Xenopus tropicalis: one gene and its partners. The protein of the gene in region 1 interacts with the protein of each later gene in a pairwise test. Links are inferred from orthologs where the notes say so. Each region holds a gene or a part of one and is shown on either strand. Other genes may lie near its edges.

The links.
Region 2: the proteins of fam131c (region 1) and hpcal4 interact in binary tests that used the Homo sapiens proteins (3 or more experiments, as listed by UniProt). The two-hybrid records come from large-scale screens. The link is inferred for Xenopus tropicalis from reciprocal best matches to the Homo sapiens genes FAM131C and HPCAL4.
Region 3: the proteins of fam131c (region 1) and vsnl1 interact in binary tests that used the Homo sapiens proteins (3 or more experiments, as listed by UniProt). The two-hybrid records come from large-scale screens. The link is inferred for Xenopus tropicalis from reciprocal best matches to the Homo sapiens genes FAM131C and VSNL1.

Annotation. Positions count from the first base shown.
Region 1 is NC_030683.2:131,465,627-131,469,713, forward strand, and holds the start of fam131c (protein FAM131C), read left to right. Parts: upstream 1-1,134; 5' UTR 1,135-1,548; coding exon 1,549-1,597; intron 1,598-4,087.
Region 2 is NC_030678.2:90,987,910-90,991,562, forward strand, and holds part of hpcal4 (hippocalcin-like protein 4), read left to right. Parts: intron 1-798; coding exon 799-1,014; intron 1,015-3,653. UniProt on the Homo sapiens protein: May be involved in the calcium-dependent regulation of rhodopsin phosphorylation.
Region 3 is NC_030681.2:141,644,577-141,648,229, reverse strand, and holds part of vsnl1 (visinin-like protein 1), read right to left. Parts: intron 1,779-3,653; coding exon of another isoform or gene 1,772-1,778; coding exon 1,610-1,771; intron 1-1,609.

The DNA of each region.
Region 1 (4,087 bases):
GTGTCTGTCCCTTTCCCTTCCCTGCACTGCTGGTTCTGACTCCTGATACAACTCCCCAATACCCATTCATTCCTCATTCTCACTGGGTTTATAGTTATGTGTAACTGTCACTGTGTCTGTCCCTTTCCCTTCCCTGCACTGCTGGTTCCGACTCCTGATACAACTCCCCAATATCCATTCATTCCTCATTCTCACTGGGTTTATAGTTATGTGTAACTGTCACTGTGTCTGTCCCTTTCCCTTCCCTGCACTGCTGGTTCTGACTCCTGATACAACTCCCCAATACCCATTCATTCCTCATTCTCACTGGGTTTATAGTTATGTGTAACTGTCACTGTGTCTGTCCCTTTCCCTTCTCTGCACTGCTGGTTCTGACTCCTGATACAACTCCCCAATATCCATTCATTCCTCATTCTCACTGGGTTTATAGTTATGTGTAACTGTCACTGTGTCTGTCCCTTTCCCTTCCCTGCACTGCTGGTTCTGACTCCTGATACAACTCCCCAATATCCATTCATTCCTCATTCTCACTGGGTTTATAGTTATGTGTAACTGTCACTGTGTCTGTCCCTTTCCCTTCCCTGCACTGCTGGTTCTGACTCCTGATACAACTCCCCAATATCCATTCATCCCTCATTCTCACTGGGTTTATAGTTATGTGTAACTGTCACTGTGTCTGTCCCTTTCCCTTCCCTGCACTGCTGGTTCTGACTCCTGATACAACTCCCCAATATCCATTCATCCCTCATTCTCACTGGGTTTATAGTTATGTGTAACTGTCACTGTGTCTGTCCCTTTCCCTGCACTGCTGGTTCTGACTCCTGATACAACTCTTGGCCTTGCCCCCTTCACCCCACCCTTGCTGAGGAACAAAAGCCCAGAGTGGCAGAATCACAATTCCAGACTAAAGGGCACAATGACCCAAACTGAATAAAGGGAAAAGCCTCAGGTTGCCGGCCCCTGGCATACAGCTTGTGCCTGCCCCCCCGGCACAATCATACATGGAGGTGCCAAGCCTGTTGCTGGCAGAGTCCGAATCCAAAGCAACCCCCCAGCACTGACAGGGTTAATCCCCACCCACCCCATGGCAACAGCTGCTTCACCTACACGAATAAAAGGGAAAGCAAAGGGGCTCGTCAGCGAGACGTTGGCAGCTCCTGCGAGACACCTCCCAGAGACAGCAGGCAGAATGGGAAGGGGTGGTGACATCCAGCACAGACAGTCTGAGAGTCTCTGAGCAACAGCCGCATCCAACGTGACCACTCTCGTCCCCCCCTTCCCATTATTCCCAGTACAATCCAAACCCACAGACACGTATGCAGAGCCCCTCTCTCACCCCCACTCACTGCCCCTGCCATGTCTGTCTGCCACTCTGCCAACCACTGCCAGGGAACTCACACCTTGGGCTGCACGCTGCAGGGCTGGACTGCTGAGACCCCCAGTGGCACAGTGGGAATGGTGGGCAACAGAGAGTGTCGGGAAGGTCTGTAAAGGGGAAGCGAAACCAAACAGAGGCGCCAGGGGGGATCATTCTCTGGGAGGATTTGGATGGCACAGGGCTGCCTGCCCTTCGTTATGGGATCTTGCATCTCCAAAGGTAAGTCCTTATGTTCTCTAACTGGGGGTGAAACACGGTGCTGATGGGTCCAACTACCCTCGGTATAAAGCTAAAAATGGGGCAGATTTATAGGTGGCACCGTGGGCACGACTGGGCACTGACTGGCGCTGTCATTGTGGCCTGTGGGGGTAACAAGGGGGCACAAATATGGAATATAAGGACATGGCAAGGGTTACACCCAAGTTAAGAGGGTGCACAGGTGCCCAGTACCCACAGCCCCCCCAAACGTGATGGGTAAACTGCACGGCATGCTGGGAAAGAAGCTCAAGAACACTTTTGGGTCACACTGCCGGCACCGTCTGAGCCCCCCCGTGCCCCTGTCGGGGCAATATTGGGCACATACTGGGTGCCTAGATCCAGTTCCGCCCAGGGAAAGGGCAACACAATTATTGGGGTTCCAGCTCCACCGGTAAAGTTTTGCCCGACCCAGTTACACATGAGATGTTCCGACTGCTGCAACAAGTAGCACCGACTCCAAGGCAAAGGGGTTGGCACAGATTCCTTCCACTTAGGGAGGCGCTGCCGGTAGCCTGGGGGCTGTTGCTAAATATGTACCCTGGCACAGTGAGGATGGAGGTGCCCAGTGTGGCACAGACCTTGTTGCCATGGCAAGGGAACGGCGGCAGCGGCACAGCCAGACAAACACATCTTGTCCTTGTTTCCCATAGAAGTGAATGGCAGCTCCGTGACCTTCTCGTCTCTGTCACTTTAAATGAGCCCGGTTGGGCTGCCATGCCAAGCAGCGGGCTCAGTTCTTACCCCTAGGGAGGGCAGAGGGGGCATTTGGCAGAAGTACAAAGGTCATATTATATGGGACAGCAAGGGTTAAATATCCTCAGTGTATCAGATACCCCCATAACCCTATTTGGGGGGCATTTGGGGGTACTGGTGCCAGGCTGTTGGTGCCACCCTATAACATGGCACTGGTTCTACCCAGGTGTAAACATTGCAATGTGGGTGCCAGCACCCTGGCAGGGACGCAAAGGGATCATTTATAGGAATGATTGTGTCTTTTAGCCAATAGCACTGCTACCTGCTGGCAGCGACACGCCCACTGATGCCCTTTGCCCACCTGTGTCCTGGCGCAAGGGGCAAGTGTGACATGTGACCAAAGAGAAACCCTGAACAGGTAGATTCTAAAGTGGGTGGCATTAAAAGGGTTAAAGGAGATAATCGCTGTATAATGAGTTTTTTTTTATTTACTTTAATGGAATTAACGATAATTTGCAGTTGGTCGGTATTTCTGTTTCTTTCTCCTCAGCTCTCCAGCCTAGAAATTACCGTTTTATCTGGTTTCTAGGGTCACACTGACCCTAGCAACCAGGCGTTGGTTTAGATACCAACATTGCTGAGACAGAAGACCCAAAACCTATTCAACTGAATGAGAATAAAAAGCAAATAAATCACTAATGGTAAATAACAATATGGGCGGCACGGGGGTCAGTGGGGGCACGGGGGTCAGTGGGGGCACGGGGGTCAGTGGGGGCACTGGGATCCTGGGTTGATTCCGCCCAGGGCACTGTCTGCGAGGAGTTTGTATGTTCTTCCCGTGTCTGTGTGTATGTTCCGCCCACACGTCAAGAACAAACAGGCAGGTTCATTGGCTCCCCATAAAAATTTTCTCTCTGTGCATGAATGTGATAGGGCCCTTAGATTGTAAGCTCACTGGGGCAGGGACTGATGGGAATGGGATAGGGCCCTTAGAGTGTAAGCTCACTGGGGCAGGGACTGATGGGAATGGGATAGGGGCCTTAGATTGTAAGCTCACTGGGGCAGGGGCTGATGGGAATGGGATAGGGACCTTAGATTGTAAGCTCACTGGGGCAGGGACTGATGGGAATGGGATAGGGCCCTTAGAGTGTAAGCTCACTGGGGCAGGGACTGATGGGAATGTGATAGGGCCCTTAGAGTGTAAGCTCACTGGGGCAGGGACTGATGGGAATGGGATAGGGCCCTTAGAGTGTAAGCTCACTGGGGCAGGGACTGATGGGAATGTGATAGGGACCTTAGATTGTAAGCACACTGGGGCAGGGACTGATGGGAATGGGATAGGGCCCTTAGAGTGTAAGCTCACTGGGGCAGGGACTGATGGGAATGTGATAGGGCCCTTAGAGTGTAAGCTCACTGGGGCAGGGACTGATGGGAATGGGATAGGGCCCTTAGAGTGTAAGCTCACTGGGGCAGGGACTGATGGGAATGTGATAGGGACCTTAGATTGTAAGCTCACTGGGGCAGGGGCTGATGGGAATGGGATAGGGGCCTTAGATTGTAAGCTCACTGGGGCAGGGGCTGATGGGAATGGGATAGGGACCTTAGATTGTAAGCTCACTGGGGCAGGGACTAATGGGAATGGGATAGGGACCTTAGATTGTAAGCTCACTGGGGCAGGGACTGATGGGAATGGGATAGGGACCTTAGATTGTAAGCTCACTGGGGCAGGGGCTGATGGGAATGTGATAGGGACCTTAG
Region 2 (3,653 bases), on another chromosome or scaffold:
TTACATCATGAATGCAATAGTAAATGACCCATATGGAGCTTCATACTTTTGTAAATGCTCCCTTAAAATTCTGTGTTATCCATGCATCTAGAATAATTGAGGCCATCTAGAATAATTGTATGCCAATACAAGTAAAGTGTTGTTTTAATTTATGTTTCACCCAAGCAAATCATTCCTTGTTAAATCAGATATGCTACTGCCAACTGTCACTAGAGAATGCTACCCCCTTCTTGTGTGCCCATCCTTCAGTCCACTTGTTTATTTATAGCATAATGGTGAAGTCATGACAATGCATTACCAGTACACTTGCTTAGTTCTAAGAATAATACAGTAAGCATATAGTGCCATGGTGATAGTGAATTGTTTCTGGCTAGCAGCTGTTTCCCAGGGCCATCTCATACCCTGATGATTTAGCAATTAATAGGGATCCTGTATTGTAAAGCTACACGTGTAGTGGCAGTGGTAAAGGTGGCCAACATAGTGCAAACATAGATATGTGCTATCAGTCTGTATGACCATTACTCTGTGGGGCTACCACTTATTTATTCAAACAACCAGCATTCAGTATCAGAAAATGAGTATCCCAAATAAGCTCCTTGGCAGTGGGTCATTGCATCCTACCATTACAGTGCAATTGCAACAAATTGGCTGTGATGCAGGAAAGATTATTTCTTAATGATATAAGGCAAAAAGTAGCCCTATTTCCTATTTAGATAAGTGTTAGTTATTTTTTTTATATGTTTTTCTTTTCATAACAGATAATGTAATTCCCTCTCTTCCGTAAACTGTTCTTTTCAGTTCTTCCCATATGGCGATGCCTCTAAATTTGCTCAACATGCCTTCCGCACATTTGACAAGAATGGAGATGGAACAATTGATTTCCGGGAATTTATTTGTGCTTTAAGTGTCACCTCACGGGGAAGCTTTGAGCAGAAACTCAACTGGGCCTTTGAGATGTATGATCTGGATGGAGATGGCAAGATCACACGACTGGAGATGCTGGAAATAATAGAGGTATTATGAAATACCTTACAGGAGAGAGGGAGTTCAAATAGCATTCAGGAAGTTAGAACTGTAAGCCATAAGGAGATGAAAGGGAGTTGAGGAAGACAATAAGGGGCAGATAGAACAAAGAGGAAGAAAGTTTCAATGAAATCAATGTATGCTTATTACTTTTCTCCAGTATATTATTTGCATCACAGAAAATGCCACTTTTGAAAAATTTTCTGCCTCTGTAATTATAGATCTGTCTCTAGAAAAGTAGTATACCAGAAAGCTGACACTCCTTCAGTATCTAGTAACAGGGCTTCCATCATAGCCACGTCTGCCTGCACTTGGGTGGAGACAATGCTTCCAGGTGCAAGCAAAGTAGCAGGGTGGTGCCAGCGTAAGGGTTGATTCTTGGCCTACATTTTTCCACAGGCCAAGAATCAGCCCTGTTTAGCATTAGCCATTGTGCCTCCATGGCTTATAGCACTCATGGGCTTATAGCACTGCCTGTACTGTCCTAAATTTTAGTGGGTGGGTAAATAGGCAAAACTGTCTAAACTGTCTCCCAGTAATTTAGGGCAGCTTCAGGTTTTCTCTGACAGTTAAAATACACTGTGGAAAAACTGCCCTATGTGCTATTAGCCACAATTAGCTTGTACAGTAATGGGTATATAGATATATACACACAGCATGCACTCGTAAGTAATGGTACATTGGCTTCTATGAACAATAACTCCAGATCCTAAATACATTATACAGTAAGTGGCAGAAGCAGTGGTACATACCTAATGGTAGACTCAAGAATAGAAACCCTGTATTAGGGTGAAGACACACAGAGCTACTAGTAGCAGGTACTTTTCACAGCTACATGAGACAATGTTGATCATTTACTGATAACTGTCTCTATGTGTTTTAGCAAAGGTAATTCTCAGTATTGTCTATGGCAGGGTATTTTCTGGAGTTTAGTAGATGTGACAAGTAGCTGCTACTAAGCTGCTCTGTGTGTCTTCGCCCTTATGCAACTTGGGTCATATTTACAGTACATTGAGTAGAAGAAATAATAGATTATCTAAAAGCAGTTCTATTGTGACATGCTGGCTCTTTCTCAAAAGCTCAGAAAGCTCTTTCTAAAAGCTCATAATCAGCTGGCAGATTCTCCAAACTGCTGGTTTGGTCCTGCTTCTGAGGTCTCCTGTGTAATTCATGGGTAATGTCCTATAAGTTTAAACAGAGCTCTATGATTTCCAGCACAGATAAATAAAAATAAATGTGTTACTAGGATGTGCTAAACAAATTGCTCTTGAGGTTTTATAGTTACAAAATATAATTTGTTAATCCATACTAATAGCTCAGTTGTGGTTTGTGGGTATGGCTTTTAGGGGTGCATATATTTTTCAGTCAAAATAATTTGCTCAACTAGAATTCCTGTAGACAGCGTGTTATAAGCACAAAGAAAACCAAATATTGTGCTTGTCCTGATTCCCAGTAAGTCTGTACCATGTGACTTAAAAATGACTGAAGTATTTTAAGATGGTTTTGTGATTGCTTTCTTAACCCCAGTATAAAAGAGGCCTCTGCTGTGACTTTCTTCACCGATAATGAAAAGCCCCATGCTGCTAAAAATGTGTAGTTTCAGATATTCTGTATTACTATGTATTACCACGTAGATATCTAGAATGATGTTTTATAGGATGCACTCTGACGATAGTCTGGCCCAAAAATATATATATAATATAAAATATGACTTTATTATATATATATTGTGACATGCTGTCTGCCTGTACATGTAATTATGTAATTTTGGGGGGAAATTAGCTATGGTAGGCAGGTAAGAAGAGGATCAGGAGCATAGTGGCAGGGACATCACTTCTTTTCACAAAAAAACACAGGTTTATTTCGGGCACCCTCCTCCCAACATAAATATCACCATCCCTCTCGCATTCATGAACACTCGGGCTACTCAATCAGCCCTGCTGTCTCTCCCCTCCTGGGATACCAGCTCACCAGCATCTGGCACACTTTGGCTTTTCACTAAGCCTTGTCGTTCCTGCACTCATACACATGTTCACGGTTCCCTCTGCTCCTTGCAGTGGCAGGCAGCACCCCCAGCTCCTTTGGGAGTACCTCACACAGTCAGGCAACCTTCCTGCCTTGCGCTGACCTCTGAGAGACCTTTCTCTAGGTGACCCTTCACTTATATTCAACACTTCTCTGGGTTCTCACTTGGTTAAGGCTCCCACCACTCCTTGCAGCGGCAGGCAGCACCCCCAGCCCCTCTGGGAGTTCCCCACACAGGCAGGCAGCCTTCCTGCTCTGTGCCCTGCTCTGAGACCTTTCACATGGTTACAGCTCCCTCTGCTCCTTGCAGTGGCAGGCAGCACCCCCAGCTCCTCTGGGAGTTCCTAAAACAGCCTTCCTGCCCTGTGCCCTGCTCTGAGAGTGAACCCCTCTCTGTGAGTCAACAACTCTGAGTCCCCCAACCCTCAACCTCTGTGTAACCACACAGCTCTTTTAACTGCTGCTCACCCGCAGCCTAATCATGCAGCTACCTACAGCTGGCCAACTGAAAATACTAAACGGAGTAAGGAATGAAGGACCTATCCTACTCACCCTCCATTTACTCCTTTCTCATCTATCCAGCTTTTTCTAAGCCACTGACATGA
Region 3 (3,653 bases), on another chromosome or scaffold:
TATAGAGGTTGTTATAATGGCCTTTAATATCTTCTGTCTGCATGTTAATGTGGAGAAGGATACATTCATAAAGTGTACAACTAGAATGGCAAAAATCCAACACCCCAGCATTGTGCTTCATTTCCTTAAAGAAGAAGGAAAGGCATTTTGGCATTTTATTGCCAATAGATTCACCACATTAATGCTACCTAGAATGATATATTTATTCTGCAGAAAACATTACCTGAAAAAACAGACATAGAAGCCCCCTCTGTTTAAGATAGCAGCTGCCATTTTAGCTTGGTCTGATTTCACTTCTGTTCCTGCACACTGAGCCTCTAAACTCAGATTACATAGCAGAGAAGGGAGGGGGAGAGAGGAGCAAACTAAGCAGGCTTGTGCCATGCCCCGTAGGATTTTTTTGAGAGTAGGAAGTCTGATACAGAAGATGAGGTGAGCAAGCAGACTTTTATAGGCATCTCTGATAAAATAGGTGTTAAGAAGCCAGCTCCAATTTAAAAGAGTAAGTGGAGCTTTTTCAAGAGTCAAGCACTGGAGACTCCGAGCCATATCTGAAAAATAGTGTTATAATAATACCAATGCAACCAATCAACACAATGTAGCAGCCTTCAGATAACACAAGTGCTACCAATGTGGTACAACTGATGTCACAGGGGAGCCTATAAAGAACAGCAGTTCTGATAAGACTAAGGCTACCACATGATTTGATAATACAACGGTTGCCAATTGACAACAACAGTTCTTATAAGACAACTGGTACCGGTACTATTCTAAAACAACTGTTCCAATAACACATGTAGAACACATTTCCTGGGAACACAAACGCTTCCAATATACCATAGCACTCATGTTCTGTCAATAGAAAGACAACTGCTCTCAGACATGGCGGCTATTGAAGTAATGCAACTGTTTAGGCGGCACAAAGGCAGCCGACAAATTCACACTATTCTAGAGACAAAAATTAAGAATAACCTTCTTCTGCCTGACCTTACTTGACTTTATAAAAGGCTAGTCATGAAGAACTTAAATAAGGAGCAACAAAAAAGAAGAGGGTCAGTGGCCTAAATCACTTCAGATTATATGGATTGAGCTGCAGAAGAGTGGATTCAATTTACCGCTCACGGACAAGTTTATTAATTTTCCTGCCTTCATCATTTGTCTCTGTGCACTACTTGGCAATGTGTTTCACAGCACAGGGTGGGAAGGTCAGGACTCAGGAGCTAGATCTGCTCCCCAACCTTGCTTGATGCACAGAGAACCCCTTGGAGTGCTTGGATTGGCTGTTAATATATAGACATATTGGGGTTTAATGAAAACAACAAGGATGTTCACATGATTTACACATGCGATTGGTGTATAAACATCCACCATTCCCTGTAAACCAAAATAGAGGCTATGGCACACAGGGCATGGTGTAGCTCAGAAGGCGGTGCCAAACCAGCCAATGCGCCTTTACCATAAAGGAAAATAAACATAAATATTGAGTAACATAAAATATAATATATTGTACAGTGAAAATAATGCAGTTAGCAATGGTAACAGCCCACTTAGTAGTGAAAAAAGTAACCTGCAGTAAAACGTCCCATGAACAAGCAGAAGATGGCCTTACCTTTACATAGAGCTGCTGGAATTCATCCAGGTTCAGCCGGCCACTTGGACAGTCCTTCAAGAACCCTTTGTACCACTGTTTCAGCTCGTGCTCATTAAACTCTGTGCTCTTCACAAGATCCTCCATTACTTCAGGAGCAAGTTTGCTGTTCTGTTTCCCCATTTTGTTTCTAGAAAAAGAGAGAGGTGTTCTTAAATTTCTTGTAATATACACATTGTTGACATATTTGGGAAAACTGTGTATGTTTCTTGCAACCTGGCACCACTCAACCTAGGTGGAAAATATAGGGAGCCAATTCATAGGGACACCAGAGCCAAACATGAAGGTCAACCTATGTGGAAAATATAGGGAGTGAATTCATATGGACACCAGAGCCAAGAATGGAGGTCAACCTATGTGGAAAATATAGGGAGCCAATTCATAGGGACACCAGAGCCAAGCATGAAGGTCAACCTATGTGGAAAATATAGGGAGTGAATTCATATTGACACCAGAGCCAAGAATGGAGGTCAACCTATGTGGAAAATATAGGGAGCCAAATCATAGGGACACCAGAGCCAAGCATGGAGGTCAACCTATGTGGAAAATATAGGGAGCCAAATCATTGGGACACAAGAGCCAAGCATGAAGGTCAACCTATGTGGAAAATATAGGGAGTGAATTCATAGGGACACCAGAGCCAAGAATGGAGGTCAACCTATGTGGAAAATATAGGGAGCCAATTCATAGGGACACCAGAGCCAAACATGGAGGTCAACCTATGTGGAAAATATAGGGAGCCAATTCATAGGGACACCAGAGCCAAACATGGAGGTCAACCTATGTGGAAAATATAGGGAGTCAATTCATAGGGACACCAGAGCCAAACGTGGAGGTCAACCTATGTGGAAAATATAGGGAGCCAATTCATAAGGACACCAGAGTGAAGGTAGGTAGGAAACCTGCCTCTCTTGCATAGGGCAAGAGTTAAATGGATGCTCAGGAAAGGGAAGCTTGGATTTCTATGCATGAAGTAGCTTCAAGGTTACCAGTTGTGTAGGCAACTACATTACCTAAGTAACATGTGCCTTAATCATTTTACTCCATTTATACTTGTAAACACCACATTCAAATATTACCCACCCAACACACATTTTTCACAAAACATAAATATTGGCACTAAACTGAGACAGAGGCACCTACAGTACAACTCACTGTTCTACAATCTACAGACCATCTGAGATCATTATGTCAACATTTTGGTTGCTAAGAACCTTGCATTAAACACAATTTCTTTCAAGGTTGGCACTCAGCCCTCTATGACTCTGGCATTTAAACAACGACAAACAGCATTTATCAGATCACACCTTCCTAATGATTTACACTTGGCTGTTCTTTAATTAAGCTAATCTGTTATTTTATTAGCAGGAGATATTACTTTCCCTTTCAAGCCAAGTTGATTCATCAGCAGATGTTTGATTCAGACTCAAGGTGGCTGCCGGTGGGTTTGATAATCATAATATCAAACAGTTTATTGCACTTGCTGATTAATTGTAGTTTGTGCCATTGGGCCACAAACTTGCATTAATGTGACTTTCCAGCAATTAACCCATACATACACTGATGGAAGCCATCAACCACAAACTCATATTGAATGGGTTGGCCAAAAAATTGGTCAGATATAGACACATGAGCAATTAAATACCCCAACTTTGTCATTTGGTTTATCAAACTAACATGCTCTATGTGTTGACCCAAAATAATGCTCCCCATCCAAAATGAAAGCGCCAAACAACTGAAGTGATAACATATGTAGCCACTTTGGCCTGATGTACCTTGGTGAACACGTTATGGGTCATTTACTACATTTACTATGACCCTGGATGCAAATGCTACATCAGAATTGTGCCCCTTAGTGCTCATTCAGAGCCTTTGTGTCAGGCATCTGGCTATTCTCTCCAGAGAGCAGATACTTTCCCTTATGAACACAGCACTTATTAATGTAGGCAGCATAAATAGGGCACATATGTGTGTATGAAGAACACACAGGTCCCTGTGCAACCTA